Linked DNA regions of Elephas maximus indicus. The protein of the gene in region 2 interacts with the protein of the main gene of each other region in a pairwise test. Links are inferred from orthologs where the notes say so. Each region holds a gene or a part of one and is shown on either strand. Other genes may lie near its edges. The genes, in order: SPEG, PRMT1, BTG1 and HNRNPR.

Region 1 (7,468 bases), on a different chromosome or scaffold from region 2:
CCCAAATGAGGGGGTGGAACCGGAAGGACTGTGGAGGCAGAAATGCCCCTAAGTTGGGAACTGAGGGCTCAGAGGGCACTTTCCAAGCCCGTCTGTCCACTCTGGCTCCCATCTATCTACTGCCCCTTGGAACAATTCCTTCCTTGTTCCTCCCCTTCTGTTTCCTCTTACCTCAGCCTGTCCAGGGCATACATGCAAATAATACATTAACGACCATTGACTGGACACCTAAATTGTCAACTACCCAAAGGCAAGGGTTTTTATCTCTTTTGTTTGCTACTCCACCCCTGGTGCCTGGAAAAGCACCTGGTTTGTTGCTGTTGTTAGGTGCCTGGTACAAAATAAAGGAAAACAAACAAACACAAACCAAACCCTTTGCTGCCAAGTTAATTTGACTCAGGGTGGGTGACCCCATGCATTTCAGAGCAGAACTGCATTCAATATGGTTTTCAATAGCTGTAATCTTATGGAGGTAGAGTACTAGGACTTCTTCTTCAGCACTGCTGAGTGGCTTTGAACCAACAACCTTTTGGTTAGTAGCTGAGAGCGAACCATTTGCACCACCTGGGACTTTGGCACATAGTAGGTGCTCATTAAATATTTAAAGAATTAAATATTTATTGAATGAATACTCACCAGGCTACTTTTTACTTACTTTTCTCTCAATTTAATATTCATAAGGTAGAGCTGATGGCTCCCACTTCATTCATTGCCTCAACAAACTTTTAGTGAGTTCCTACCATGTGCCAGCCACAGCACATCAGTATGACTCCGAGGAAACTCTCCATGGCCCAGAGAGGTGGGGCACCCTGCTCAGGTCACGCAGCAGGTCTATGGCAGAAGAGGACCCAAACCCAGGCTGCTTGGCCTCTGGAGCCCAGATCTCTTTCCATGACACCACAGGCTTGTGATCGAAAGGCAAGCAGGCTGGCAGCACACACACCCAAACCAGTGCCAGGCCGCAGGGCACTGTGGGGCCCAGGCTGAGGGACTGACAGCGCCTTGTAGCCAGCTGCCTTGAGCGACAGTCCAGGGCCTGCTGGCTTCTGGGTGTTGCAGCTGGTGCGGGCTCCTCCAGAAGAGGGTGCCAGCGGCTTGCACGGGCCTGTGCCCTCCCCGAGAGGCCTGCAGCCCGCTGTGTGCACATCAGTGAATGCCCCAGTATGGATTTTCGGAGCATGAGATGTTCCAGGCTCTGTGCCAGGCCCTTTTAAATTGTTAATATTCATTTTAATATTTAATATAATAATTTAATGCCACCACAACAACGTAAGTCAGATCATGTAATTCTTCTGCTCAGAACCTTCTGAAATGACTTCCCGTTTTACTCAGAATAAACGCACCATGGACTACAAAATGTTAGGTGACCTGGCTCCTGCTACCTGGCTGACCTCATCTTCGCCATTCTCCTCCTGACTCCCACCAGATCTCCATGGCTTTCTGGCTCTTCTCGGAGCCCACCAGGCATAATCCCACCTCTGCCTGAAGTGGTTCTCCCCTAGAAGTCTGTGTGGTTTGCTTCCTGCTTCCTCACCTCTTCAAGGCTGGCTCAAATGCTCCCAGGAAGGTCAGCTCCAACCAACTTATTTAAAAGTGCAGTCCCTCACCACACTTCCACCCCCTTTACCCTGCTTGATTCTTCTCCATAGTGCTTATCACCTTCTAGCGATCTTTATGGCTTCCTTATTTATTTATATTTATTTGTCTCCCTTCTAGAATGTGAGCAGCAAGGAGACAGGAATCCTTGTCTGTTTTGTTCACTGCTGTATCCCTAGTGCCTAGAATAGTGCCAGGCACATAGAAGGAACTCAAAATTATTGAATGAATGAATAGGCCCTAAGTAGGTTACCCCCATTTGATAGATGAGCAAACTGAGGCTTAGAGATGTTAAATGAATTGCCCAGGATCACAGTTCATTTATTCAACCAATTAATCGGCCAGCATTTACAGTACTTGCTGCTTTCCAGGTCAGTTGTTAGTGCTTGGTGGCTTTGGGTCATTAGTTTATTAAAAAGTAGTGCTTCTTTGCCATTGATGCTGCAGCTGTTTGCAATGCTTTTCCTATATTTTTACCTGTTAAAATTTATCACAGTGGTTGCCAGGGGTTGGCGGAGGGGAGTGTGATTGGCTACAACGGGGATGAATAGGCAAATGTTTAGGGTGATGGAACTGCTCCGTATCGTCTTGGGGTAGTGAAGACGTGATTCTATGCAGTTATCCAAACCCAGAGAACTGTATATCACAAAGAGTGAGCTTTAATATATGCAAACTACAAAACGATTCAAACCAACCCTTAAAGCTCTGATCCCTATGGACTTAATTCAGTGTTTAAATAGTTTCTTCTGTGCCTTCTCCATATACACATACGCTTTGGCTTCTCTGAGACTGAGGGTTGTGGACCAGGAGACAAGATTAAGAGTACCCTTCTCTATGTCCAAACGACTCATGGCTCCTCCTTTGGCTCCTCTCAGCACTTCTCATCTCCTGGCCCTGGGCATCATCCCTCAGGGCTCAAGGTCAGGTCTGGGTCTTTCACTTGAACTTTCCAATTTTCTAATTTTGAGATAATCGTAGATTAACATGCAATTGTAACAAATAATACAGAAAGAGCCTGTTTACCCTTCACCCAGCTTCCACCAATGGTAGTAACTTGCATAACTATAGTCTAGTACAATACCACGACCAGGAAATGGACATTGACACAGGCTCCACCATGTTCAGATTTCACCAGGTTTCCATGCACTCATTAGTATGTGTGCATGTGCACTTAGTTCTGTGTAATTCTATCACATTCTATCATGTGTAGATTCATGTGACCACCACCACAGTCATGTTACAAAACCATTCCACCACGAAGATCTCACCTGGACTTTTAAAATTGGTACTGTTCTATCTTGATGTTTCTCAAAGTGCAACCCTCAGGTGCATCAGAGTCACCTGGGCTGCTTGTTAAATGTGGAGATTCCTGAACCCTCCCTGTTTTCCCTCCTCTCCCCTAATGAACCAGCATCTGTGCGGTGGGGCCTGGGAATCTGTACTTTTAACAGGTACCATGCTTTGAGAACATTCTCTTTGGCCTCCAGCCTCCAGTCTATCCATCACACTGTGGCCACCAGAGAGATCTTTCTAAAACACAGCTACAACCATGTTATTCCTCTTCTTAACACACTGTGGTGGTGCCCACTGCCTTTAGGGTAGAGACAAAACAAGAAAAGCCCCCTGGGTCAGGCCCTACCTCCCTTTCCTCTATTTACCCTACCACAAACCAAACCAGTTCCTGTAGAGTTGATTCTGACTCATGGCGACCTCATGTGTGTCTGAGTAGAACTATACTCCATAAGATTTTCAACGGCTGATTTTTTGGGAAGTAGATTGCCAGGCTTTTCTTCCTAGGCATGTCTTGGTGGACTAGAACCTCCAACCTTTCGGTTAGCAGCCAAATGCATTCACCGTTTGCACTACCCAGGGACTCCTCACCCCACCACATATGCACACACACACACAAACCTCAAACTAGTTGCCACCAAGTTGATTTCTGACTCATGGTGATCCCATGTGTTTCAGAGTAGAACTGTGCATAAGGTTTTCAATGGCTGTGAATTTTCAGAAGTAGAAGCCGATCACCAGGCCTTTCTTCCAAGGCACCTCTGGGTGGATTCTACCGCTAACCTTTCATTTAGGAGCCAAGCGCTTTACCATTTGCACCTGTAATTCAGTTACTCCAAACTCCTGATTCTCTGGATGCGTCATGCTCTGATTTTCTTTATGCTGTTTCCTCTACTGGAATGTCCTTCCATTCTCCTCAGCCTGTTGAAACCCTATTCAGCCACCCATTTTTACAGATGAGGACATGAAGTTTGAGAAAGGTTAAGGTGTCGCCCAGCTGGAGCCGGAATCCACCTGAGTCCCCACTCCTGGTCTTAGTGTTCACCAAGCTGTCAGTCCTGGAGGCGCAGGGGGAGGCCCTCTTCCCAAACTGTTTGCTCACCTCCACGTGGGCTTGCCTCCCCACTTGTTTCTCCAGCTCCTCGCCCACCCTGGTCACTTACCTCCTCCTCTCTCCAGCGTATGAGGCTGGGACTTAGGGCCCTAAGAAGAAGGAGGAAGGAAAATAGGATTGAGCTCAGGGGGTAACCCGACTGCCTGAGTGGGCTGCCTGGGGGGCAGGCGCACCAAGGCGGGGAGGGGGCTTGGAAAAAGACCCCCAGGGACCCGTTTAAGCCAAGGCGGGCGATGGGGGCTCCTGGAGGGAGGGAAGGAGCAGAGCGGAGTCCAAGTCCCCTCCTCTGCTGCCCCCTCCCTCCACAGCTCCTCGAAACCCGAGCCGGGGGGCCTAAAAATAGCCCCCGAGGCTCAACCACCGGCCGCCCTGGTGACCTTCTGGGTAGCACAGGCCGAAGGCGGGCGGGCGGCAGGATTGCAGGGCGCCGGCCCCCCTGGACTCATCTCTCAGGGCACCATCCCCCGGGTGTCCCCGTGGCTGCCAGGTTCCAGCGTAACCCCCAGTCCAGCTTGCAGAAGCTATGCAGAAAGCCCGGGGCACGCGAGGCGAGGACGCGGGCACGAGGGCACCCCCCAGCCCTGGGGTGCCCCCGAAGAGGGCCAAGGTGGGGGCCGGCGGAGGGGCCCCTGCGACTGCACCCGGGGCGCCAGTCTTCCTCCTGCCCTTGAAAACCGCAGCGGTGCTCGCGGGCAGCGACGTACGGCTGCGGGTGGCGGTGAGCGGGACGCCCAAGCCTAGCCTTAGCTGGTTCCGGGACGGGCAACTACTCCTGACCCCGCCGGCCCCGGAGCCCAGCTGCCTGTGGCTGCGGAGCTGCGGGCCAAGGGACGCCGGCGTGTACAGCTGCAGGGCCCAGAACGCGCGGGGCGAGGCCTCCTGTGAGGCTGTTGTCACAGTGCTGGAAGTTGGAGGTAATGGAGAGGTGGGGGCACAGCCTGGGGGTGGGGTGCACCCAGGTAAGGAGGGGGCCCTGGCCACTTTGGGGAGGCACCGTTTGTCCTGCCTTCTTCCAGGTACCCTGGCTTCTGGCTGTTCTGATCCACAAGTGCAGACCAAGAGGGCAGTGCAGAGAAGGGAGACTCAGGTAGATAGGCTCCCCATGACAGGTTAGAGTCATGTAAAGCCCCAGCCGCACTCAGCCCCAGCCCTACTCAGGTCTCTCTGGGAAGTCCATGGCAGAAGCCCTCAAGTTCCCTGCAGAGAGAAGCCTCCTAGGGGACAGTTGTCTTCTTCAGCTTAAATACTTTAAAGTTAAGATCACTAATCAGGCTGGGATGTTGGGGGCTGGATTCACTGGCAGTCCATTACAGTGTCAGGGTTGGTGTGGTCAGCAGCAGGCTGGCTGGAAGTGGCCAGTGGGGGCACAGGTGGGAACAGGGTCCAGGGCATCGGGAGGAGCTGGGCTTAGGGTCTCTGTGGGCATGTATGGAGCAGGGTGTTTGAGGAGCCACATGCCCGCATATGGGGAGTGGAGATAGGCTGTGGAGGGGTCCGGGCTGGGTTATGGTGGGACAAGCAGAGGAGGGATGAGGGCTTGTGGGGTTGGTGTGGGAAGCCCATGAACTATGTCTACCTGAGGTTCCAGAGATGTTTGGAGGGTGCAGAAGAGGGATGCTCAGGGCTGGCACTTGGGTCCCTGAGCATGTGGGGTTAGAGTTGCAGGCTTGTTTGTGAAGGGACAGTGATGGTCTGAGGCAGAAGAGGAGGGGCATGAGCCTGGGACCTGTACTTACGGTCCTGCTGGAGCTGGCATAGGTGCCAGGCCAGAGCCATTTCTACTTGGGTCTGTTTTTGGTCTTCTTTTCTTGTTTCCTCAGCCCCTAAGCCAGCCAAAGGGTTCTTCTCTCGGCCAAAGAGAGAGTCTTGGGAAACAGAAATCTGAGGCAGAAGGTGTAGTTGAAGGAGCCCTGGTGGCGCAGTGATTAAGTGCTTGGCCACCAGCAGCCACTCCGCAGGAGGAAGATGTGGCAGTCTGCTCCTGTAAAAATTCACAGCCTTGGAAACCCTTTGGGGCAGTTCTACTTTGTCCTATAGTGTTCCTAGGAGTTGGAGTTGACTTGATGACAGTGAGCTTGGTTTTAGGTTAAGCTGCAGTTGGGGGAGCTGGCAAAGAGCTGAGTGCCATTGAGTCTGTCCTGGGCATTTTCAAGTTATCCAGAAAATCATCCCCAGGTAGCTGCTGAGAAGAGGGACTTCTCACTCCAACTAGGTCGGGCCGTTTAGGGGTAACTCCTTGTGGGCTGGGAAGAGGCACTGGAAAGGAGGACATCAGCAGCTGGAGGTGAAAGGAGGCCCTAGGGTGCACCAGGTAAGGAGATGGAGCAGCGGCCCTGCTCCCTCTGGTAGCATCTCCTCTCTCCCCTTAGCCCGCCCTGCCCACCTCCTAGAATCTCCAGTGACTGGTTCCTTAGATCCCTGTGGCAAGGAATCTTTGTAAAGATGGGACAGAAAGGGTCAGGGAAGGGCAAGGTTGGTTTCTCCTGGTTGGCCCAGCACTTGGCCAGGCACAGACTTCCCCAGTCTGGGAGTGGGGTCAGGGGGTGGAGTACATCCTGGTAGAGCTCTGATCTGGGAAAGGAATGAACTTTTTGGGGATCTTAGCTCTGGGCCTCTCAGGGACATTGAAACATTGGAAGTTTGAATCCACTCAGAGGCACCTCGGAAGAAAGGCCTGGAGATCTACTCCCCAAAAAATCAACCATTGCAAACCCTGTGGAACACAGTTCTATTCTGACACACAGTGGCAACTGGTACTGGTAGCTCTGGACCCCTCAGAGACAAAGGGTTCTGAAAATAGAGCATAAATCTAAGGGTAAGAGAGGCAGGTTGATGAGAATATGAATAGAGAGATTAGGGAAGGGAAGGGCTGAGAAGGGAAGTGGTGGTCATAATGTTTATTAAAAGATGGAAAGCATTACAGAGAACCACTGCTCCAAACACTTCCTTTACACATGAGGAAACTGTGGCCCAGAGGGGAAGGAGGCCTGCCTAAAGACATACAGCCAGTTATGGCTGTCCCAGAACTGAGAACCCGGTCCTGCTAGTTTGGACTCTGGGTGACTTTTACTACTCAAGAAGTTCAGGAGGAAGGTGAAAGAGGGGGAGGAAAAGGGGAGCTGTCCAGTGTGTGGGGAGCAGTTGCTACAAGATGGGCCCAGGCCTGGCCTTCTGAGGATGAGAGCCTCCTGGCCTGCCCTGGTCTCCCAAAGTGGGGAGAGTGGTGGGATGCTAGAGCCCCCCAGCAGGGCAGTTTCTACAGCCCATCTGTAATGTGGGTGGCATGGTCGGCAGAGCTGAACCCTGGCTGGGCACCTAGACAGAGGCTAAGGAGACAGTCTCCAAGCCGAGCTGCCCTGCTAGAACAGCAGGCTTGAAAGACTTGGGGAGCTGTGGGCTAGATTAGGGGCTTTTTGTGATTTGGGCCAACAGTGAGTGGGAAGAAGGTTGAGTTGTGGCAAGCCACAT
Region 2 (7,147 bases):
GTATTAATTGGGTAAAGTAACTGAGAACCCAGGTGTCATACTGGTTGGTAATGTACTTGTCTCACCACCTGTCAGTTTGTCATACTGTGGTGGCTTGTGTGTTGCTAGGATACTGGAAGCTATGCCACCACTATTTCTGATACCAGCAGGGTCACCTGTGGTAGACAGGTTTCAGTGGAGCTTCCAGGCTAAGACAGACTAAGAAGGCCTGGCGATCTATTCCAAAAATTGATGATGTTGTTGTTCCTGTTAGTTGCCATCGAGTTGGTTTCAACTCATAGTGACCTTATGTCCAAACGAATGAAACACTGCCTGGTCCTGCACCATCCTCATGATCATTGTTATGCTTCAGCCCATTGTTGCAGCTACTGTGTCAGTCCACCTGGTTGACAGTCTTCCTCTCTTTCACTGACCTTCTGCTTTACCAAGCATGGTATCCTTCTCTAGGGACTGGTCCCTCCTGATAAGACATCCAAAGTATGTGAGACAAAGTCTCACTCCCAAAATTAACCAGTGAAAACCCTGTGGATCATAACCGAACATTGTCCAACTCACTTTGGACCCCTTCACAGAATATTATCAAGAGGGAATAATTGCTGGAGGAGGACATCGTGTTTGGTGGAGGAGCGGGCCAGCAAGGGATAGAGAGACTTATCCTGAGATAAATTAGCACAATAGCCATGACAATGGACTCAAACACGCTGGCAATCATGAGAACCAGGGAAAGTTTCCTTCTGTTGTGCATAAGGTTGCCGTGAGTCAGAGTCACCTTGACAGAGGCTGTCTCTCTCTCTATGTATGTGATATATCAAACTTATCAAATTACATGTGATTAGGTGCTTATTATTTTATATGAATTACACCTTCAATAAAGTTGATTTTAAAAAACAGCAACAACTAAAAAATGAATTTCTGTTTTCAGACATCCTGTGATCAGAACACGGTCAGCCACTTGCTAGGAGTTTGACCTTGACCAAGTCACTTTACCTCACTCAGTTTCCTCTCTTGTAAAATGGAGGTGATGATAGTACCTACCTCAATGTACTGCTGGGAGGATTAAATGAATGAATTTATATAAAAGTTTTAGAAGAGTGGCATAACCCGTTGCTGTTCTGACTCATGGTGACCCCACGTGTTACAGAGTAGAACTGCTCCCTAGGGTTTTCTTGGCTGTAATCTTTACGGCCAGCCTTAGTAGCGCAGTGATTAAGAGCTTGGCTGCTAACTAAAAAAGGTAGACAGTTCGAATTCATCAGCTGCTCCTTGGAAACCCTAGGGAGCAGTTCTACTCTGTCCTATAGGGTCACTATGAGTCAGAATTGAATAGATGGCAATCTTTTTTTTTTTTTTTATTGTGCTTTAAGTGAAAGTTTACAAATCAAGTCAGTCGCTCATACAAAAAGGTATACACACCTTGCTATGTACTCCTAGCTGCTCTTCTCCTAATGAGACAGCACACTCCTCCTCTCCACCCTGTATTCCCCGTGTTCGTTCAGCCAGCGCCTGCCCGTCTCTTCCTTCACATCTCCCCTCCAGAAAGAAGTCATAGATGGCAATCTTTATGGTAATTTTTATGGAAGAGCCCTGGTGGTGCTATGGGTAAAACACTCAGCTGCTAACTGGAAAGGTCAGCGGTTCAAACCCACCAGCTGCTGTGCGGGAGAAAGACCTGGCAATTTGCTTCCATAAAGTCGGAATCCACCTGATAGCAACGGGTGGCCACCCTCCACCCAGGCTGTTGTGTTGTTAGGTGCCAATTCATAGCAACCCCATGTGACAGAGCAGACCTGCCCCATGGGGTTTCTAAGGCTGTAAATCTTTATGGAAGCAGATTGCCAGGTCTTTCTCCCGTGGAGTGGCTGGAGGGTTTGAACCACAGACCTTTCAGTTAGCAGTTGAGTGCCTTAACCATTGGGCCAACAGAGCTCCTTGAAGGGTGGCTAGTGCCTACTAATTAATGCCTGTTGGTAAGCTTGATCCATATTTGGCCAAACCTACAAAGTGGCAAATCTGTCTTGGAAAAAGTACAGCCAGAATGCTTCCTGGAAGCGAGGATGGCGAGACTTCGTCTCACGTACTTCGGAGGTGTTACCAGTAGGGACCAGTCCCTGGAGAAGGACATCATGCTTGGTAAAGTAGAGGGTCAGCAAAAAAGAGGAAGACCCTCAACAAGATGGACTAACACAGTGGCTTCAACAATAGGCTCAAGCATAACAATGATTGTGAGGATGGCCCAGGATTGGGGCAGTGTTTTGTTCTATTCTACATAGGCTATGAGTCGGAATCGAGTCGACAGCACTGGCTTTGGGGTACACAGGGTTACTATGAGTCAGAGCCAACTTGATGGCACCTAACAACAAATAACAACAAAGTGGTAAGGAGTTTGTCTTGAAGGATAAAGAAGTGTTAGCTTCTCCCCTGGAGAACAAAGTAAGGGGGTGTTCAATGGCACAAAAGTGGGAAAGGTGTGAGCTCAGGGAAGTAAAAATAAAAAAAAACCAAACCCAGTGATCGAGTCGATTCCGACTCATAGCGACCCTATAGGACAGAGTAGAACTGCCCCATAGAGTTTCCGAGGAGCGCCTGGCGGATTCCAACTGCCGACCTTTTGGTTAGCAGCCATAGCACTTAACCACTACACCACCAGGGTTTCCCTCAGGGACGTAGGAGGGGCTTATTAGGGCAGAAGTGATGGGGAGGGTGGTTGAGGCCAGGCAGATGATCGCGGCAGCTAACCACGCTGAGGGGGCTGGGACCTTGTCCTGGGGGTGCTTGGGAGCCAAGGGAAGTCTTTGAGTTGAGGAGGGGCGGGGTCAGCTCTGGGGACAAGAGGATGTGGGTTACTTGAATGGAAACTGTTGGCTGAGAGGTAGGGGAGGAGTCTGGGACGATGGTCCAGGAGGACGAGGACAGTACTGGCCGAGAGTCAGGGCAGGAGGGGCAGGGCTGGGGAATGACATACTTAGGGAACGAGGGGCTGACTGCCCTGGCTGGTGACTCGGTGGGAGGTGGAGCTGTCCTGATTTGGGCATCCGGGAAGAAGAGAGGCTGTGAGAGGACGTCCTCAGTGCGGGGGCGTCATGGTGGGTGTTAGGAGTGTCTGTAAGTGTGAAGTGATGTTGGAAACCTTACACACCTAAGAGTTCACCAGGGAGGAAGGAATGTCGGGGACCACAGCCTAGGTATAGACCCAGAGATACTAGAGCGAGCTCATCCCGGGACTGGAGAGAAGTTTGGATTGAGGAGAGTTAGTGGGATAGGTGACAGGAGAGGCGAATTCATCTTCATTCAACGACTAGTTTTTCTGCAGACCAAGGAAGGCTTCCACAGGAGGTAGTGTCTAAGCTGGGCTCTGATGGATGTATAGGAGTCGGTAAGACAAAGGCTGTTCCCGGCAGGGAGACGGGCTCGGATAAAAGCCAAGAGGCTTCAGATGGGTTGTTGTGTTTAAAATACTTAGAACCGTTAAGTAGACGGCTAGGAGTTAAATGCTTTGACGTCTGACTTGATTCGAGACCCCAGACAAACCTGCTCTCTTTCTAGGCCTCTTTCTGCTTCAGTTTTTTCCCCCAGGTAAATGGAAACAGTTTCCCTTTTTTCTCCTAGAGTCCCCTCCGGCAGGAAGAATACCCCCGAAAGGAAGATGAGTGACAGTTCCTTTGAGCCAATTGCTGGGACCCAAAGTCCGGCTTTCCTCCCCTCTCTGGGGCCAATTGCCGTGTTCTTCTTGAGGTTGGCGAGGGCTAGCTAAAGACCTCATGACGTCACCCTCTGGATAAACCAATGGCAGCGATAAGAGGCGGGCCGTTCTGGTGATGGATGGCTCTGTTTCAAGATGTCCGCTTAGCGCGGGGCCCGCCGGGAAGCTTAGAGGCGGTGCTGGGGGAAGGGGCGGGAACTTCTAGTTGACGTCGCCCAATCACCACTCCGTTTTCTTGCGATGGACGGGCCGTCTTCCCCATCCCGTTCGACCTGAGGGGGCGGGGTCCTGCACGCTAGACTGGGCGGGCCTCTAAGCTTTGCTCGATATCGCCTTTACCCAATTGTTAACCGGTATTTCCAGACGGGCCGCCCCCATTGCCAATGAAATCTCTTGGTGGAGTTGCGGTGGGCGGGCCGTGGACCCTCCGGTATAAGACGGTCCCGGGGGAAAGCGGAGAAAGGGGGGGTCTCGGCCGCCAGAGGAGGAGTAGCTGCGGGTGAAGATGGCGGCAGCCGAGGCCGCGAACTGCATCATGGAGGTGAGAGCTCGGAGCGCCGCCGGGGTCGGGAAGCGGTTTGGGGTCTGCGTTTTAAGGTCCTTCGTGGGGGAAGGGGCTCCGAGTCGGCGAATTGGGGCTGAAGGTACCCAGCCGCACTGAGACGGCGCCGCATGCCCCGGATCTGGGGATATCGTTTGAGGTGGGAGGTTCCCTAGCTTTCGGGGCCTTGCGGTAGCTGGCCGAACCAGGGGTCTCAACCCCCCACCCACGTGGAGGCGGGCTGGGGGCGCTTCCGGCCGAGCCCCCACGTGGCCACGACCGGGTGGTGGGGAGGGGGTGTGCCGTGCCCGGATGCCCGGCGGGCTCCACGTGCGGGACAAAGGCCCCGCCTCCAGCCGGGGGAGGGGCGCCGGGGGGCGGGGAGGAGGCTCCGACCCTGCGTCGAAGGCCCCGAACCCCTGTCCGCGGGAATCGGGACATACACCGGGGGGGTGGGACTCACCTGGGCCCACTGCGATGTAGTGGATCTCCTGTGAGGTTCAGTGCCTTCCGACCCTGTACAACCCCCTCCCCAGGTTCCGGGGCATCTTTTGGGGCACAGGTCCAGGTTTTGAGCCCTCTTGGGTTGGGATTGGAGGAAGGAGAAGAATCGGCCTCCTTCCAGCCCCAATTTCCTGCCCCTGAACTCTTCCCCTTGCCCAGGGCTTTAGGAGCTGGGGGATGGGGCATGCCCCTTTGACCTCTCTCTGGGTGGGGGGATGGAGGCCATCCTTCCAGATAAGGTGCCGTGCACCCCCTTGTGGCCATTTCTGGGTGTGTGGGAGGGACAGCTTTTTCACGGGGCGTGTCCCGAAGCCCACCTTTTCCTTGGATCCCTATCGGGCAAAAGGGGGCACATGAACGCTGGGAAGGCGATCTGACAGGGTATGAGCGCAAAGCTTTACCGCTTACTGGAACCCTTTCTCTTCCTGTGGCATTTCCCACGGACGACCCCCCTTTCTGAATCCCTGTGTGGGTGTCCTGAGTCTGGGTGCAGGGAAATGGTTTCCAGTGAGGCTTGGTTTTCGTGTACCCGTGTGGGGAGAGTAGTCCTGTGTTCCGCGGCCTCTTAGGCCAGGGTTGTCTGGTGGTGGTGGTGTCAGATGTATTGGGAAATGGGGCCTGGGTCGGAAATCTTCTCACCAGCTGCCCTTATGGGCATCCTTACCGGCCAGTGGCTCATGGCCTGTGACTTGGCCCTTCCTGGAACCTGGAGGGAGGGTGGTCACATCTGGAAGACGTGTTATCTGGTGGAACGTCTGTACCCCAGCCCCCTATCTTATAGCCTTTTCTGGAGTGTGGAGGGTCAGTTCCCAAGATGCATACCACTGGAGGACAGCTCCCAGAGGCCACTCCAATGCCCCCACCTCCCTTGGCTCGCTCCTGGACCCAGAGCTCTATAGGTGGAGCAAATAACCTTCCCCGGGGCTTGCCTCAGCTCGTGGCCCCACACCTGGGGGGCTTCGGGGCCTGGGATGGGTGTCTGAATGGGAAAGATGGGGGTCTGACTCTTGGAGCCACATCTTGGTCCATCTTCTTCCTAAGAGGCTCCAGAATCTGTCCGGGCTCCCCAAGACACTGCCTTCCTGGTCATAGAGAGGGGCTTGGTTCTAATTGGTTTTATTTTGTGCTCCTGCACCTGGGACAGGAGCCTAGGGGCTGGGTTACCAGCTCTGGTGGGGGTGTCTGCGTGCCACACCTCCTTTCTGGAACCCTCTCAGTTGAGAGACTGGTGTGCAGAGGTGGTGGTTGCCCAGTGGGCATACTCTGCCAGGCCCCCCAGCTATTCCTGGCACCCCAGGATGGGGATGTGTGTCAGGAAGTGTCACCTAATCTGGGGGGATTAAGAGGGAGGAGGACGACAGCTGGCAGTGCCCGTGTGCCCGGCGGGGGGCCAGGTTCTCTGGTGTGGGTGGGGGAGGTATGCGGTCAAGTGCCTGGCTGGAGGGGACAGTGTAGGGGCGGGCCACCATCTCTCCAGCCACAGCTGGGACAGGAGAACCCCCTTACCCGCCTCCCCCACTTCTCTGACCCCTTTTTGAAACAGCCCTGCCTCTTCACACTGTCACCACTCCCCACCAAGAAAAAGGAAAATTGCAGGGAACCCCCTCCCCAAGAGCCCTGGTTCTGAACCCCCGACCCTGGCCTGTCCCTCCCACAGCCACTCCCAGTAGCTAATCCTTTCTCCCTGTTACTCTCTCCTAGAATTTTGTAGCCACCTTGGCTAATGGGATGAGCCTCCAGCCGCCTCTTGAAGAAGTAAATATCCTTTTGTGAGACCCCTCCCCACTCTCACCTCACCTCCAACTCAATCTAGCTTGCCACCGACAGGCCCTTTCTGGCGGTCCAGCCTTTCCAGCAATCTAACCATGATCCCTCTTGCTGCAAACTAGTTTATCCCGTGCCCCCAAAAACACTTAGTACGGTCCCCTCCAGGTTTGTAGCCCCCCTCTGGCCTCCCCAACACCGTGGCTACTTCCTTAACTCCATTTCCAGTCCCCACTTGCCCCCCGGCCCTGTGTCTGCCCCAGCCCTGCCTTCCCCTCCCCTCCCCAGCTGTGGGCTGAGCTAGAGACGGGGGCAGAGAGACTGGAGAGATGGTAGGCGTGGCTGAGGTATCGGGGTGCCCTCCTGGATGGTGCTCTCGGGGGGCCTGGAAGAGGAAAATGGGGTTTGGGGTTCCTGGGGGAGGCGAAATGGCAGAGGGGGCTGTAGGGTTGCCGTGGTAAGCCTTTGGTGGAGTCTACATGCTCCAGGCAGAAGTAGGAACCTGGAGGTTTGAGAGGCTGCAGGGAGCCCCCAGATTTGACCCATGCTCCCATCCGCCCTCTCCCAGGTCTCCTGTGGCCAGGCAGAGAGCAGCGAGAAGCCCAACGCCGAGGACATGACGTCCAAAGATTACTACT
Region 3 (7,697 bases), on a different chromosome or scaffold from region 2:
CAATCCATCTCATTGAGGGTCTTCCCCTTTTTCACTGACACTCTACAAAGCATGATGTCCTTCTCCACGAGCTGGTCCCTCCTGATAACGTGTCTGAATTACGTGAGATGAAGTCTCCCCATCCTCACTTCTAAAGAGCATTCCTATTATTCTACTGAGACAGATTTGTTTGTTCATCTGGCAGTCCATGGTATATTCGATAATCTTTGCCAACACCACAATTCAAATGCATCAATTCTCCTTATTCATTGTCCAGCTTTCACACACGTTTGAGGCGACTGAAATTACCATGACTTGGGTCAGATGCACTTTTGTCCTCAAAGTGATATCTTTGCTTTTGAATACTTTAAAGAGGTCTTTTGTAGCAAATTTGCCTAATGCAATGTCTTTTGATTTCTTGACTGCTGCTTCCATGCACATTGATTGTGGATCTGAGTAAAATAAAATCCTTGACAACTTCAATTTTTTCCTCTATTTATCATAATGTTGCTTATTGGTCCAGTTGTGATGATTTTTGTTTTATGTTGAGGTGTAATCCATTCTGAAGGCTATGGTCTTTGATCTTCATCAGTAAATAACAACTTTAAATGTATTCAGTTAAAAAGACCATGTTTTTTTTCTGATATTGATGCCTTTCCTATTTGGGGAGTATTAAAATATTATATCTTTTTGCCAAAACGATAATAATAAGAGATATAATTGTAATTTAAAAAAAAAATCTTTTTGTGAAATAGAAGTTTTTCAGCCCTGTATTGATCTCTAAATTTTGTTAGTCCACAAAATACCTAAGTCCATTCCCCTACTATATATGAAAGTGTTTTGTCCCCACCCCCTTTGCCAGCACTTTGAAAATTCTGGTTAGTTGTCCAGTAGTACCTTTATAGAAAGTACTTTCTGAACTGTTTCCAGAAACCTGACATTTGTGCTTTTATTTGCAAACTTCTTTTGAAATACAGCTTTGTTTTCTGGATTTGTTTGGTCAGAATTCCTAAAATTTTTAATGTGAGAGGAAATTTTCTAGGTTTTAAAAATTAATTTGATAATAATATTGTCATCAAATAGAATATTGTGAAATGATGAGATAATAATATGGTAACATTTATTTGAAGGCTTACTTAGCGCTGGTCACAGTGCTAAAAAATATCTGTGGATTATCCATTTGTTGTTGTTAGGTGCCATCGAGTCATGAATTCCGACTCATAGTCTACCCTAAAGGGCAGAGTAGAACTGCCCCATAGGGTTTCCAAGGAGTGACTGGTGGATTTGGTTAACAGCCGAGCTCTTAACCACTACACCACGAGGGATCCTATCACATTTAAAACCAAACCAAAACCCATAGCCATGGAGTCGATTTCGACTCATAGAGACCTTTTGGACAGAGTAGAACTGCCCCATAGTTTCCAAGGAGTGCCTGGTGAATTTAAACTATCGACCTTTTGGTTAGCAGCCATAGCTCTTAACCACTATACCACCAGGGTTTCTCTATCCCATTTAGTCCTCCCAAGAACCTTGTGAAATAGGTGCTGCTATGAGTCAGAATTAGGAACCCTGGTGGCACAGTGGTTAAAGCACTTGGCTGCTAACCAAGAGGTGGGCAGTTGGAACTTACTAGCCATTCTGCTTCCATAAAGACTTACAGCCTTGGAAGCCCTACGGGGTAGTTTGGCTCTGTCCTGTAGGGTCACTATGAGTGTGGATCCTCTTGAAGCCAGTGGGTTTGGTGTTTTATTTTTTGGTATGGGTAGGAATTCGCTGGAAGGCACTTAACAATTACCCTTACGTTACTGAAGAGGAAGCCTAACGCAGAGAGGTTAAGCAACTTGCCCTAGGACACCGGCCCAGGAGAGCCCTGTAGTTTAGCATAACAACACCACAATAAAGTTCCTTTATAATTCAAAAGCTGTCTAGAAATACTGGCTTGTTTCCTGGATAGGAAAAGCCTGACTAAACTTTTGGAAAATGCTTATATACATACATACGTATATCAAAGCCCTGGTGGCACAGTGGTTAAGAGCTCAGCTGGTAACCAAAGGGTTAGCAGTTCGAATACACCAGCTGCTCCTTGGAAAGGGTTAGCAGTTCGAATACACCAGCTGCTCCTTGGAAACTCGTACTACTCTATCCTATAACGTGCTATGAGTACTATTATCGATCATCATGGCGCACTATAAACTCTGTGTTTAGGACCAATATTTTCCTGAGTGCTTCCCTCCCCCACCATATTCAGGCCCTCCAGGTAAAAGAAAACTTTCTTAAATCCATTTGTCTCTCACAGGGATGATTTACAGTGGGGAAACACACACACAAGAAAAAACTCAGTGGGGAAAAAAATTGCCTTGGAGTCAATTCTGACTCATAGTGACTCTACAGGACAAAGTAGACTGCCCCACAGGGTTTCCAAGGCTGTAAATCTTTAAGGAAGAAGACTGCCTGCCACATCTTTCTCCTGCAGAGCTGCCTGGCAGGCTGAAACTGCTGACCTTTCAGCTCACAGCCGAGTCCTTTAACCACCAGGCCACCAGGGCTCTTTTTGGGAAAACCAAGTTCTCCACAAATACCTTACACTTCCCTTTACGCCTATTCAAATGATTTCATAATTTTTTTTAAAGCAGTGCAGTTGCTACTTGGGAAGGCAGTAATGATAGTGGAGAGAACACAGGCTTAGGAGATGAGCCTGAGTTTAAATCCCAGCATTTTGTGAACTTCATTTTTTTCATTTTGTAGATGAGTCAACTGAAACTCAGAATTATTGAGGGTCCATGTCAGTGACTATGTTTGGAAGTGAAAATCACCTGATTTCTAATCTAATGCTCAGATGATGGATAATTTAGGGGAAATGAAGAGAGCAGATGATTTAGGGTGATTGGGGAAAGGGGACACCAGAAGAGCTTGTTTTAGGGTGAAGGTGATTTCATGGAATCACTTTTTAGGAATAGACTCCATGGCACTGGGTGTTTTTTTTTTCTTCTTCTTGTTATTCTTTTAGGGTAGTAAGAGGTTTCACATCCCTTCCCTCCTGCCCAGTGAGGTAATTTATCATGACCTTTATTTTAAGCAAGGTTCTGTTTGAAAAGTCCTAGAAGGAAAAAAAATTTACGTTTACCATTATTTTTGATACATTTATCCATAGAAAATTTATACTTTCATAAAAGTAAAATGCTTTCATCAATACTATTTAAAAACATTCAAGGTATTCCATTTATAACTACCTAATTACTGTGTATTGATGAAAAATAACCTAAAGGTTAGTCTTTCAACCCCAGTTTTACACATTCCATTTAAACAACAAAACTTTTTCTTCCTTGGCTCTACAAGGTCAAGCTTTTTCATTTCTATACCCCTCTGCTCAGAATTTCAAAAAAAAAAACTCAAAAGTGGTGTGTTTTGCAATATTGATGACCAACTGAGCTCAGGATATTTATTTCCATCTGGTAGAGTTCTGCCTCTTGTTTGCTTTCTCCATCTGCCTGCCTCTCCATTTTTTTTTTCCCCCTCGCTCCTTAATGGAGCTCGGTTTAACCCTCTCTTAGACCAAACCGTTTAGCAGGCCTATACCTTCGTTCCAGTTTTTTTTTTTTAAGTTCTTCAAGTAGCGTTGCAAATACATTTTAGTCTACACCTAAAACTTCCACAAGCTTCAATTTTTATATATTTTGTGTAAGGACTAAGAAAGCCCTATGGCTTGGATAGTATTTGTTTAGACCAGAAAAAAAGAAAATTTTTGGTCCTGTGGTCTACACGTTTTAAAACGCATTACAGTTTTTTTTTTTTCAACACAGGATAAGCTTTACAGGACCCGTGTGTTTATTTTCAGTAACTGGCTTTCCTACCAGCATTAAGCTGGATTCAGGTAAGGTTTCCATTCTTCTAACTTTTTAAGTTACTTTAAAACAGCAACCACAAAAAGCCCTACTTGCCTTTTATTTATTTACTTTGCAAGGAAACTTCTACAAAGACATCACCCCACTCCAGCCCCGGGGTTGAGCAGAAAGGGCTCCTTGGCGTTGGCTGCACATCCGCCAGGAGTCCCTAAAGCTGCTGCCGGTCCCTTAGGCAGAATGCGCCGCCGCGAGGGTCTGTTCCCTCCACTTTCCTCCCCACCCGGGGCGCGCCTTGCCGGCACCTACAGTACTGGCACCCACACCTCGCCCCACGCTCCTCCAGCTTGTGGACCAAGCCACGTAGACCCGGAGCGGGGACGGGAATATAAACACGGAGTACGCGCGGGGGCCGGCGCCGCGTACGTGCGGCACGACCCAAGCAGCCAGCGCGTGTAGACACAGCCTCAGCTTCAGGCTGCACGGCAATAACCCTCCCGTGGAACCGGGGCTGGGCAACGCACAGTTGCAAAAGGATGTCCTGGCGCAGGGCCTGGAGTTGCTAAAGCAGGAAGGAGGAGCTAGGGCCGGAGGAGGAGCTTTCACACGCGCACCCTCCGTTTCCTCCCCACACCCCCTCCCCTCCAGCTCCTCGGTCTCCGGCCGCCACTCGGGGTTTATTTGTTTACAAACGGATTACATCAGCTCCTCCCTCTCTTCCCGGCCTCTGGGCCCGCCCCCTAGCCCCTTTTCCCGCCCCCTCCGTCTCCGAATCTGCGTGCGTCACAATGGTGCGATCTCCGGATTGGCTGGCTACGGCCGTCACGCTCCAGCTACGCCACTTCCTTTTCGAGGCGCTATAAAAAGTGCTGCACGGCCCCTGCGTCTCTTCGCCCCTCGGAGCTGGAAATGCAACTGTTGGGAAGTTCAGAGGCTGCGGAGCTGGAGGCGGAGGCGGCTGGGGGGGTCCGAGCGATGTGACCAGGCTGCCGTCGCTCGTCTCTTTCTCTTTCCTGCCGACTCGTGTCTCGAAAATAACTTTTTTACTAAAAAGAAAAGAGAAAAAAGTGTCGTCCGCCCCTCACACCCTCTTTTCCGCTCAGTTACTGCCCTGTGAGGGAGCCCGGGGTGGCCGCTCCGCCGTCGGGGCCGCGCCGCCGAGCCCCGGCCGCCCCGGGCCGCCCCCCTCCGCCGCCCCCATGCATCCCTTCTACACCCGGGCCGCCACGATGATAGGCGAGATCGCCGCCGCCGTGTCTTTCATCTCCAAGTTTCTCCGCACCAAGGGACTCACGAGCGAGCGACAGCTGCAGACCTTCAGCCAGAGCCTGCAGGAGCTGATGGCAGGTGAGCGGACTGCGGGGAACTGCGGCGCCGGGGGGGACGCGGACCCCGAACCCCCGCGCCGGAGTCGCGGCCACAGGAGCTGCAGCCGCGCTCGGGTCCCGTAGTGGGACGCGGGACCGGACCGGCCGCTAACGGCGGGTCCCGGCGAGTGTTTGGGGGCTGGGCCGAGGGCGCGCTCTCCCCCTGGCTGGCACCCGGGGCGGGGGGCGAGGAGGGAAAAGGACACAGGCACAACAAAGAAACTAAAAGCAACTAAGCTCAGAAGCTGCGGTGCGGTTCGAAGACCGTCGGCGGATTTGGGGACAAAGGAGCCGCGGGGCTGGGGTTGGCTCGACCCCCCCTCCCCCAACTCCCTGCAACCGTCGCGGGTCGGCCGCGGATCGGTCCCGGGGTGGGAAGCCGCGCCGCTTTCCCGGAGCCAGTTCGGGACGGACGTGCGCTTTCCCCGCACCTCCTACCGCTGGCCATTAATCATCGGATTTGTCACCGGTACAATTACAGCCCTGCCCAGAGCGTGGTTTAGAATTGCTTGTTTTTCTTTCTTTCGTTTGTAACAGTCCGGTGGTGGTTCTCTCGTCCAAAGCCATAAACTCCATTGTGTGTGCCTGGGGTGGGGTGGAGAAAGTAAACAGGTTCCCGCCTGGCCGCCGGTGCCGTTCGCCTGGCCGAGGCTGCGTGAGTGATTCCTGTTCTGTTGGCTCAGCGGGCTGGTTTGTGTAGACTGTTTTGTCCCGTACTGTGCTGTTTCTAAAACCCTGCCTGCTCTTTGCTCGTCCCCGCACACGCACAGCAGCTAATGCAATTCTGGACATTTTTAAAAGTTGAGAGGTTTTGTTTTTACTCTCGAAATGAGTCAACAGAAGAAGGAAATTACAGCGGGAGCTAATAGTAACGATCTAAGCATTGTTTCTCTGTTCTTCCTTTTTTTTGTGTAGAACATTATAAACATCACTGGTTCCCAGAGAAGCCGTGCAGAGGATCGGGTTACCGTTGTATTCGCATCAACCATAAAATGGATCCTCTGATTGGACAGGCAGCGCAGCGGATTGGACTGAGCAGTCAGGAGCTGTTCAGGCTTCTCCCCAGCGAACTCACGCTCTGGGTTGACCCCTACGAAGTGTCCTACAGAATCGGAGAGGATGGCTCCATCTGTGTGCTGTACGAAGCCTCACCAGCAGGAGGTAGCACTCAAAACAGCACCAACGTGCAAATGGTAGACAGCAGAATCAGCTGTAAGGAGGAACTTCTGTTGGGCAGAACAAGCCCTTCCAAAAACTACAATATGATGACTGTATCAGGTTAAGATATAGTCTATGGATGCATCATCTTATAATGGATGGATAAATTTGATTTTTGCTTTGGGTGGGCTCCTCTTGGGGATGGATTATGGAATTTAAACCATGTCACAGCTGTGAAGATCTGGCACAAGATAGAGTGGTAAAAAAAAATTTTTTTTAAGTGACAGTGCCATAGTTTGGACAGTACTTTTCAATGATTTAATAGCCTGTGAGTCCAAGTAAATGATCACTTTAATTGCTAGGGAGTGAAGTTCTAGGGTGGTTTAGTTTCTTCCAGACGTTATTATACCTAATTTTTACATCAGTCCCTTTAAACGCAAATCTGTGTTTCAAAGAACCTTTCTCTGCAGTAGATCTTGCAGAGGAAATTTGCACTATTACACTTGAAAATTGTTAACCTTTTTGGCAGCTCAGTAGGAAAGCTCAATGTTTTAAACACAGTAGTACTGGAAATTTTATGACAAGACTTTTACCTAGCACTTAAATATGTATAAATGTACATAAGACAAACTAGTAAGCATGACCTGGGGAAATGGTCAGACCTTGTATTGTGTTTTTGGCCTTGAAAGTAGCAAGTGACCACAATCTGCAATGGCAACAGGCTTTAAAAAAGACCCTTAAAGACACTGTCTCAACTGTGGTGTTAGCACCAGCCAGCTTTCTGTACATTTGCTAGCTTGTAGTTTTCTAAGACTGAGTAAACTTCTTATTTTTAGAAAGTGGAGGTCTGGTTTGTAACTTTCCTTGTACTTAATTGGGTAAAAGTCTTTTCCACAAACCACCATCTATTTTGTGAACTTTGTTAGTCATCATTTATTTGGTAAATTATGAACTGGTGTAAATTTGTACAGTTCATGTATATTGATTGTGGCAAAGTTGTACAGATTTCTATATTTTGAATGAGAAATTTTTCTTCTCTCTATAATAAATTGTTTCTTATCTTGGCATTTTAATCAATCTCTTGTCATGATTATAGGGGTTCAGGTATAAATATTTTTCTCAGAAGCCTAAGTTCTGTAAGCTGTGTGAATGTCAGTTGCATACTGGTCGTGCCGAAAATCATTTGATAAGGAATGAAGATGATTTGTGTATACATATTTAGGTGTTAGAGGAACACAAAGGTAACATTTTTTGAAGTATAAAGTCAAAACATGGACACAAATGCACAGGCTAATTCATGAAATGAGAACAAGAGACAAAGGTAACATCTACCAAAAAGATACTCAGAGGATTA
Region 4 (7,178 bases), on a different chromosome or scaffold from region 2:
AAAAGTAAATTAAGGGCAAAAAGTTTCAAAATCAGAGACTACCAGCACCAGGTGTGGGAATGTGAAGGCTTATAAAGACAGACATTTAACCTTACTGATTTTGATTTGAAGGAACCCTGGTAGCACAGTGGTTAACGCTTGGCTGCCAACTGAAAGGTCGGCAGTTCAAACCCACCAGCGGATCTGTGGGAGAAAGATGTGGCAGTCTGTTCTCGTAAAGATTGCAGCCTTGGAAACCCTATGGGGTAGTTCTATCCTGTCCTTTAGGGTTGCTGTGAGTCAGAATTGATGGCAACAGGTTTGGTGTTTTGTTTTTTTTTTTTTGATTCAACTCTTCTGACTGTGTGTCATAGGGGTTAAGAGAATGGAATTTGTAGTTAGATGTGAGTTTGGCACTTTATTTTTTAAAAGAAACATAATCCTAGGAGGTAGAAATGAAAGACAAAACCTTCAGCTCTAGTCAGTTGTTAGCACAGGGCTTGACTGGAGCGCCACCATTTCGGAAAGTACTTTAAAATAATAAAAATTACTAAAGTTTGATGAAGAAAGTAAGTAGCTCCATTTGACAAGAGGAGAGAAATGTTGAGGTAGAACTGAAGTTTTAAAGTAAAGCTGGGTAGGGGATTTGGCACCTAAATATCTGTGGGTGTAAAAATGGTGTAGGGATAGCGTCTGATTTCCTCTAACTTCACAAGGGGGAAGGAGAATCAAGATCAACAGCCCAAGGCTGATTCCCATGAGGCAGAGGTCAGACATTCCTCCTCTCTCCGCCTTCTTTACAAATTCTGATGCCAACATTCCTCCCACAACACTCTACGTCTCTGCTGCGTTTGATAATTCCTTGCAATGGCCACACAGACCTCACAGACCATACTCACAGTTACGAGGTTTATTTGGGAAGTAACAGGTTACAATTAGGGTTCAGGAACACTCAGGATACAGTTCTTCCATCAGGACAGCCTCTTCTCAGCCATGTTGCAGGCAGGTCTCTCACTGTCCCTCAGCCCCTAGATCTGGCCTCTGCCCTGCTCAGGCAAGTGTTACAAAGCTGTTTTAGTTCTGCCATTAAGTGCCCTGAGGCACCCCACTCAGCCAGCAAACCTCTGCCCAAAGGTGCTCAGCTCTCACTCCGTAAGCCTGGAAGCCCACAGTGCTGTCTCCTGCAGTTCTCCTGGTTCTGCTGCCTTTCACCATCTCCAGTGTTACAGCCCTCCGTCTCTGTCCTGGCTCTCCTGCCACTGCTGCCTCTCTGTCTTCTGTGTTAGAGCTCCTCTCTCTCTCTCTCTCTCTTCTTGTGTCTCCCTAGCGGGAAGGCAAAACTGACCAATCCCCTTGTTAGGGTTCCATATACCTTATTTGCATGGTCCCCCTAAGGGTCCATGCACATTATTTGCATTATTAGCAAGCTGTCCAATCCCCTTGGTGGGCCACAAGCACCTTATTTGCATAGTCCCACCCAATCATTTGATGGAAGTTACAAAACCGTGGCAAGAAAGGCTATATAAAAACAGTCCATTGCACCACAGTGGGACAAAGAACTAAGTCTGGCTTTTTGTATCTGGTTCATGAAAATAGTCCGAGCAATTAAGGTACCTTTTGTCTTTATAGCTAGGCCATACTTTACAAACAAAAAAAAGCATTGCTGTCCTGACTCACATTGACCCTATAGGTCAGAGTACAACTGCCCCATAGAGTTTCCAAGGCTGTAATCTTTACAGAAGCAGACTGCCACATCTTTCTCTCTCAGAGTGGCTGGTGGGTTTGAACAGCTGACCTTTCAATTAGATCCTAATGCTTAACCACTGTGCCACCAGGGCTCCTTTACATAAGAAAAAACAAACCTATTGCCATTGAGTTGATGCTGACTCATAGTGACCCTACAGGACAGAGTAGAACTGCACCACAGGGTTACCAAGGCGTGGCTGGTGGATTTGCACTGTCAACCTTTTGGTTAGCAGTTGAGCTCTTAACCACTGTGCCACCAGGGCTCCCTAAGCCATACTTAAACGTACGTAAATGATTGGGAGAAGTACAGCCAGAATGCTCCTTAGAAGCAACGATGGCAAGACTTCATCTCACGTACTTTGGACATTTCCCTCAAATTCTGTTATCAGGAGGGACCAGTCCCTGGGGAAGGACATCATGCTTGGTAAAGTAGAGTCAGCAAAAGAGAGGAATACCCTCAATGAGATGGATTGACACAGTGGCTGCAACAATGGGCTCAAGCATAGCAACAACCACTGTGAGGATGGACAACGACCGGGTGGTGTTTTGTTCTGTTGTAACTGACTCCATGGCACCTAACCACAACCTTTAATACAAAGGTCCCCAAGTGGCTCAAATGGTTTGTGCTAGACTGCTAACTTAAAAGTTGTCAGTCTGAACCCATTCAGCAGTACTGTGGAAGGAAAGGCTTGGCAATCAACCTTCCAGGTGATTCTAACTTACTGCACTTACTGCCGAGAAAACCCTATGAAGTGGTTCTACTCTGTAACACATGGGATCTCCATGAGTTGCAATCAACTTGTGGACAACTAAAAACTCTTAACACAATGATATGGTGCAAAAGTTAGCCCTTGAGCCAGAGACTAAAATATGTGAAGCTCATAGTGTTTAAAAGAGCCTTAGTGGCACAGTAATTAGTTGCTGGGTTGCTAAGTGAAAGGTTGGTGGTTTGAACCCACCAGCTGCTCTGCAGGAGAAAGATGTGGCAGTCTGCTTCCATAAAGATTATAAACTCGGAAACCCTATGGGGCAGTTCTGCTCTGTCCTATAGGGTCACTAGGAGTCTGAATTGACTTGAGGGCAAAGTTCAAGCTTCATAGACCCTCACTTTTACAAACATGCACTTCCAAGACTCCTCCTAAACTTGCCATTTTATATTATTTTTCTTTAAGACCCTAACATTTGTATACGTCTTATGCCCCATAACACAAAAACCGCAGCATTTAGCTCGGTACTGAGCACATATTAGGTTTTCAATCATTAATTTTTGATTGATAGGTTCTGGGAAATTTAAACGATCCTCGAGTTTATGAGGCAATTCTGCTGACCACTGCTTTATCTCCTCCACTCCTTAAGAGAAATGGGGCCTTAGAAGTTGGGATAGGCAAGGAAGGAAGGTCTAATCCCACAGAAGTAAGCTTGGAGGGTTTCTGTGGAACAAGACAAGATTAGACTGAAGGTGAGGGCAAGAACCAAGCGGTAGGGGTGGAGGGTGAGAAATAGTTTTAGGAATAACGGTAATAAGACTCCATTGGCACCGCTCCTCCGGCTTCGTAGATGCATATATCTGCCTTATCTACTTTATGGATATTAATTAGCTCCAGACCCCGTGGGAAAAATGTTTCTGGTCTATCTTTTGTGCTTGATACTGTCATGCCTTTAACTGTTGTTGTTGTTGTTAGGTGCCGATGAGTCGATTCTGACTCATAGCGACCCTACGCACAACAGAAGGAAACACTCCCCGTGTTTTAGCTATTTCTCTCAAATTCTGAGCTGCCACCAATGATAAGAAGGGAGCCAAGGAGGCAAAGAGCCAGTTTTCTGATCATTACAGGGGATGATTTTCTATAAAAAATTCTCTTTCAAAATGACGAGCCTAATCACCCTTAAATTGTGTTCTAACTAGAGCCAAAAAGATGACCTAGACAGATGCCCGAACGCGTGGCGATGGGCGTGTCTGGGGCGAACGCCGGCAACAGCGCGAGGATTAGGGAGCGATGCGACGCCGGCGAAAGGGCGGGAGAGCCACAGCCGAGCGAGGCCGGCGCGGACGGTAGGGGGCGGGGTTCCGGAGGCGGCCACGCGGCGCGGGGCCTAGATTTTCGGCGTCTCCTCGGCGGCAGACGAAGGAGGAGGAGCCTCCGCCATCCAGGGCCCGGTGCTTCGCAGCCTCGCCGCCACCAGGGGCTTCCACTATAGACCCCTTTGTGTGCCTGCCCCCGCCCCGGAGGCGCCCCAGCCACCGGCGCTGAGTACCGCCATTGGCTTAGCCGACGACTCCACTGATTGGCTTTCGAGTCGTCCGGCTGAGGTCCTCTTCTCCTCGCTGCTATTGGTCGCCTGAGTTGCCTCTCAGGCAGCCGCGCGATGTGATTGCCTAGCAGCTCGGAGTCCCTGGAAGCAGTTCCGGGAAACCCCGCGTGCTGCCGGGATCGCGTCTCTGTCCATGAGGGGGGGAGGGGGTGGCGCGCGCGCCATTTCTAGTCGTTTTCAAAGCGCCTCGCGCTGATTCTCACGGGCCCGGCCGCCGGCCCCTGCTCTGCCCTGGTGAGTCTCGCGCCGGCCCGTGGGGGGAGGGGCCGGGAGCCCCGATCTGACCCGACTCGGTCCTGCCGGGGCTCGGCGCCATGTCCCCTGTTTGCTTTCCGCTCCGAGGCCCCGGGGTGGGGGTGGGGACGGGCTGGGGGCGGCTTCGGCCTGGTCCGGCCGAGCTGCTGTGGGCCTAGCCCCGCTGAGGCTCTTCTCTGACTTCGCTCATCCTACTCCGACCACCGTCCCACGGTCCGGCCCGCCGGGCGCCGTCTGTACGTCCTGCCGAGTCGGCCGCGTTTTTCCCGCCTCGGTCTGCCGCTCCATGCGGCCGCGTCCGGCGAAGGACCTGCGGCGTTCGCGGCCACAGCGTCTCTCCCCACTGGAGCGGCTTCGCTCACGTCTCGGCCGGCCTGGCCGCGAGTGGGCTGTGTTGATGCTCGGGACGGCCGTGAGGGGGTGGGGTGGCCAGCGGGCGGGATGCAAATCCCGGGGTTACCTGAGCCCGGAGAAAACTTTAGTGTGAGCGGAAACTGGAGGGCCGATTTGTGTGGGAAGCGTCTCCCCTCCCCCATCCTGCATGCTGGGAACCGAGATTTGAAGGAAAAAATGACTACTAGAGGCCGTAAAACTTAGGCTACGAGCGGCGCCTAAGATGTGTAATTCTGAGAATGTCATAGGCGCACTAAATTGGAAAGGCGATTCTTTTTCTAATACGGTAGTAACCGTGTTGCCAAAACTTAAAAATTGAAGCCAAGGGGTTCTTGAAAGGTTCAGCCCTCTCACACTACCTGTTTGCGACTTTTGCTATCTCAAGAGGCTGAATTTACGTTCTCATGAGTCAGACAAGGGACTGACCCTCCTAAGCCATGAGATAACCGTTAGTTTCCATTTCGCTGGTTCTTTTAAAGCTTGTCTCTTAACATGAAGAGTTTTGCACAGAGATGTTCAGAAAAAGGGAGGGTCTAGTGCTGATTTTCCAAATCTCCCAGCAGTCCTTTTAAATCTTATTTTAATTTCTACTTTTTGCAACAATATTTAGATCCAATGACTCCGGTCATATTAGTATATTTGCTGCATCCAGAACTATGGTTTGGCTGTGTGGCATTGTGTTCAATTGACACAAGAGTTTTAAATGGTCTCATATGATATGAAAGTCTTTTGTAAATGAGCACTTTGTATTTGGCCTCAAGAAAGGTTTTTCCTTGATCTGAAAGGTTTGATTTTTCCGGAATCTAATTAAAGTATTTTTTTTTTGTTAAAAGTTTACAAAAACTTTTTGAAAATTATTTCAATTTCAGTATCAACTTGTAGAGCCTTTGCAATTAAATAGTAGTCATGAATATTTCTATCTTGTGCTTAATACACAACTTGTCTTTTTTGCTTTTACACATACTTTTAAAACAGTACCACCTTAACAGATTTTCATTGAATTTTTTCTGTTAAAAATTTGCTTCCTTTCTGTGATTAATAGTATTCCAAGGTGCAGTGCTATAAGAGTCTTGTGATACTGAGAACATTTGAGTTCTGATGATCTTATGGTTGTATTTTGGGAGTGGGGGAGCGTGGGAAAACAACGATATTTTCACAAGGAGATTTTGGACTTTAGGGTGCATCTTCGTATTAATCCGTAAACCTTTTCATCTTACACAATAAGCAGTAAGCAGTTTCTTGATAAAAAGTGTGCAGTTTTGAATGTTTTCATTTTTACTAGTTTATCAAAATTTGAGGCTTGCCTTGAGGAACATTTATCCATTCAGAGTTTAACCACAAAGTCTGTGTCTGTATATGGACATTAGAGGGCTAACAAATCTTACGTTTTGTAATCATACGAAGTCATGATACTGTTTATCTCATTTTTAGAGTAACTTTTTCTGCATTTTCCTTTTTTCCTTCTCTGTTACTTCCTTGCACTCTTGGTCTTCCCCTTTCATTAACTTCAACTAAATATCGGTGGACTTTGAAATGGAAAGAAGTTGTTTTAAGTCAGAAAACTGCACTGGAAGTGTGGTTATCTTACGTGTCTTAGTGTTGCATATTTCTTTATAGCTGACTAGCTATCTTGAGTTTCATCAAGAAAAGTAGGCTTTTTCCTGAGATCCACTTTCATGTCCATTTTGTGTTGCAGTGTCTTTACTCTGCTGCCTGTTATCTTCATCAAATTCTAATTTCACCACAGACAGAGATGCCCTTTAACCTCAATTCTGTCTTCTGAGGCAGTGTGGAGACTGGCCTTGTATGGTTTTATTTTCTCTCTCTCTCTCTTCAGGAAGTAGATTTTAGCATTACTTTAATGGCTGAACATACAACATTTTTGGTAGGGTTAACCTTAGAAATATGACCTAAGTTTATCCTAATTAGGTAATGCTTATTGAAACTATTTGAAAGAAGTTAGCTGTCCATTCTTCAAAAATATTTTGCAGCTTTATTTTACTGAAATGAAAAAATTCAACGTATACTTTTTTTTTTTTTAAAGAAGTAACCTCAACTGTAGCTCACTTTTTATTTTATGTGGACTTAAAACAATTGTTTAGCTTTTAATCTTGGTCATTTTTTCTTTTAAATCTGTGAACGGGAATAGCAAATTAATTTTAGAACAAAAATTAACAACAAGTTGTGTTTTCTTTTAAGTGAGGTGGAGAAAACCCAAACGACCACCATGTTGAACTAGAGACAACAGGGCATTTATTGGATTCAAAGCAGAGCTAGGAAAATTCGAAATCCTTAAAAACCTTGATTAAGTGGTCTGTGGATGTTCATTTTGTTTGTAAACCAAACTTCTAAAAACTGTTTTAAGAATTGAGAGCTTGAGGGACTTTTAGAATTTTGTGGTGACTTGTTGATATGCTCACCAGGACACAACAGCTGCTTTTGTTAATCAGCGATCCTATCATCAATAATAATCATCGATAAATTCCAGCCTT

Evidence for each region.
Region 1: the proteins of PRMT1 (region 2) and SPEG interact in binary tests that used the Homo sapiens proteins (3 or more experiments, as listed by UniProt). The two-hybrid records come from large-scale screens. The link is inferred for Elephas maximus indicus from reciprocal best matches to the Homo sapiens genes PRMT1 and SPEG.
Region 3: the proteins of PRMT1 (region 2) and BTG1 interact in a two-hybrid assay, tested with the Homo sapiens proteins (2 studies listed by BioGRID). The link is inferred for Elephas maximus indicus from reciprocal best matches to the Homo sapiens genes PRMT1 and BTG1.
Region 4: the proteins of PRMT1 (region 2) and HNRNPR interact in binary tests that used the Homo sapiens proteins (3 or more experiments, as listed by UniProt). The link is inferred for Elephas maximus indicus from reciprocal best matches to the Homo sapiens genes PRMT1 and HNRNPR.

Annotation. Positions count from the first base shown.
Region 1 is NC_064824.1:118,009,002-118,016,469, forward strand, and holds the start of SPEG (striated muscle preferentially expressed protein kinase), read left to right. Parts: upstream 1-4,467; 5' UTR 4,468-4,523; coding exon 4,524-4,914; intron 4,915-7,468.
Region 2 is NC_064829.1:100,127,079-100,134,225, forward strand, and holds the start of PRMT1 (protein arginine N-methyltransferase 1), read left to right. Parts: upstream 1-4,135; 5' UTR 4,136-4,205; coding exon 4,206-4,241; intron 4,242-6,446; coding exon 6,447-6,500; intron 6,501-6,744; exon of another isoform or gene 6,745-6,838; coding exon of another isoform or gene 6,839-6,856; intron 6,857-7,077; coding exon 7,078-7,147. UniProt on the Homo sapiens protein: Arginine methyltransferase that methylates (mono and asymmetric dimethylation) the guanidino nitrogens of arginyl residues present in proteins such as ESR1, histone H2, H3 and H4, FMR1, ILF3, HNRNPA1, HNRNPD, NFATC2IP, SUPT5H, TAF15, EWS, HABP4, SERBP1, RBM15, FOXO1, CHTOP, MAP3K5/ASK1, MICU1 and NPRL2.
Region 3 is NC_064822.1:156,807,348-156,815,044, reverse strand, and holds BTG1 (protein BTG1), read left to right. Parts: upstream 1-4,697; 5' UTR 4,698-5,017; coding exon 5,018-5,165; intron 5,166-6,100; coding exon 6,101-6,468; 3' UTR 6,469-7,416; downstream 7,417-7,697. UniProt on the Homo sapiens protein: Anti-proliferative protein.
Region 4 is NC_064821.1:63,785,927-63,793,104, reverse strand, and holds the start of HNRNPR (heterogeneous nuclear ribonucleoprotein R), read left to right. Parts: upstream 1-4,178; 5' UTR 4,179-4,272; intron 4,273-7,178. UniProt on the Homo sapiens protein: Component of ribonucleosomes, which are complexes of at least 20 other different heterogeneous nuclear ribonucleoproteins (hnRNP). hnRNP play an important role in processing of precursor mRNA in the nucleus.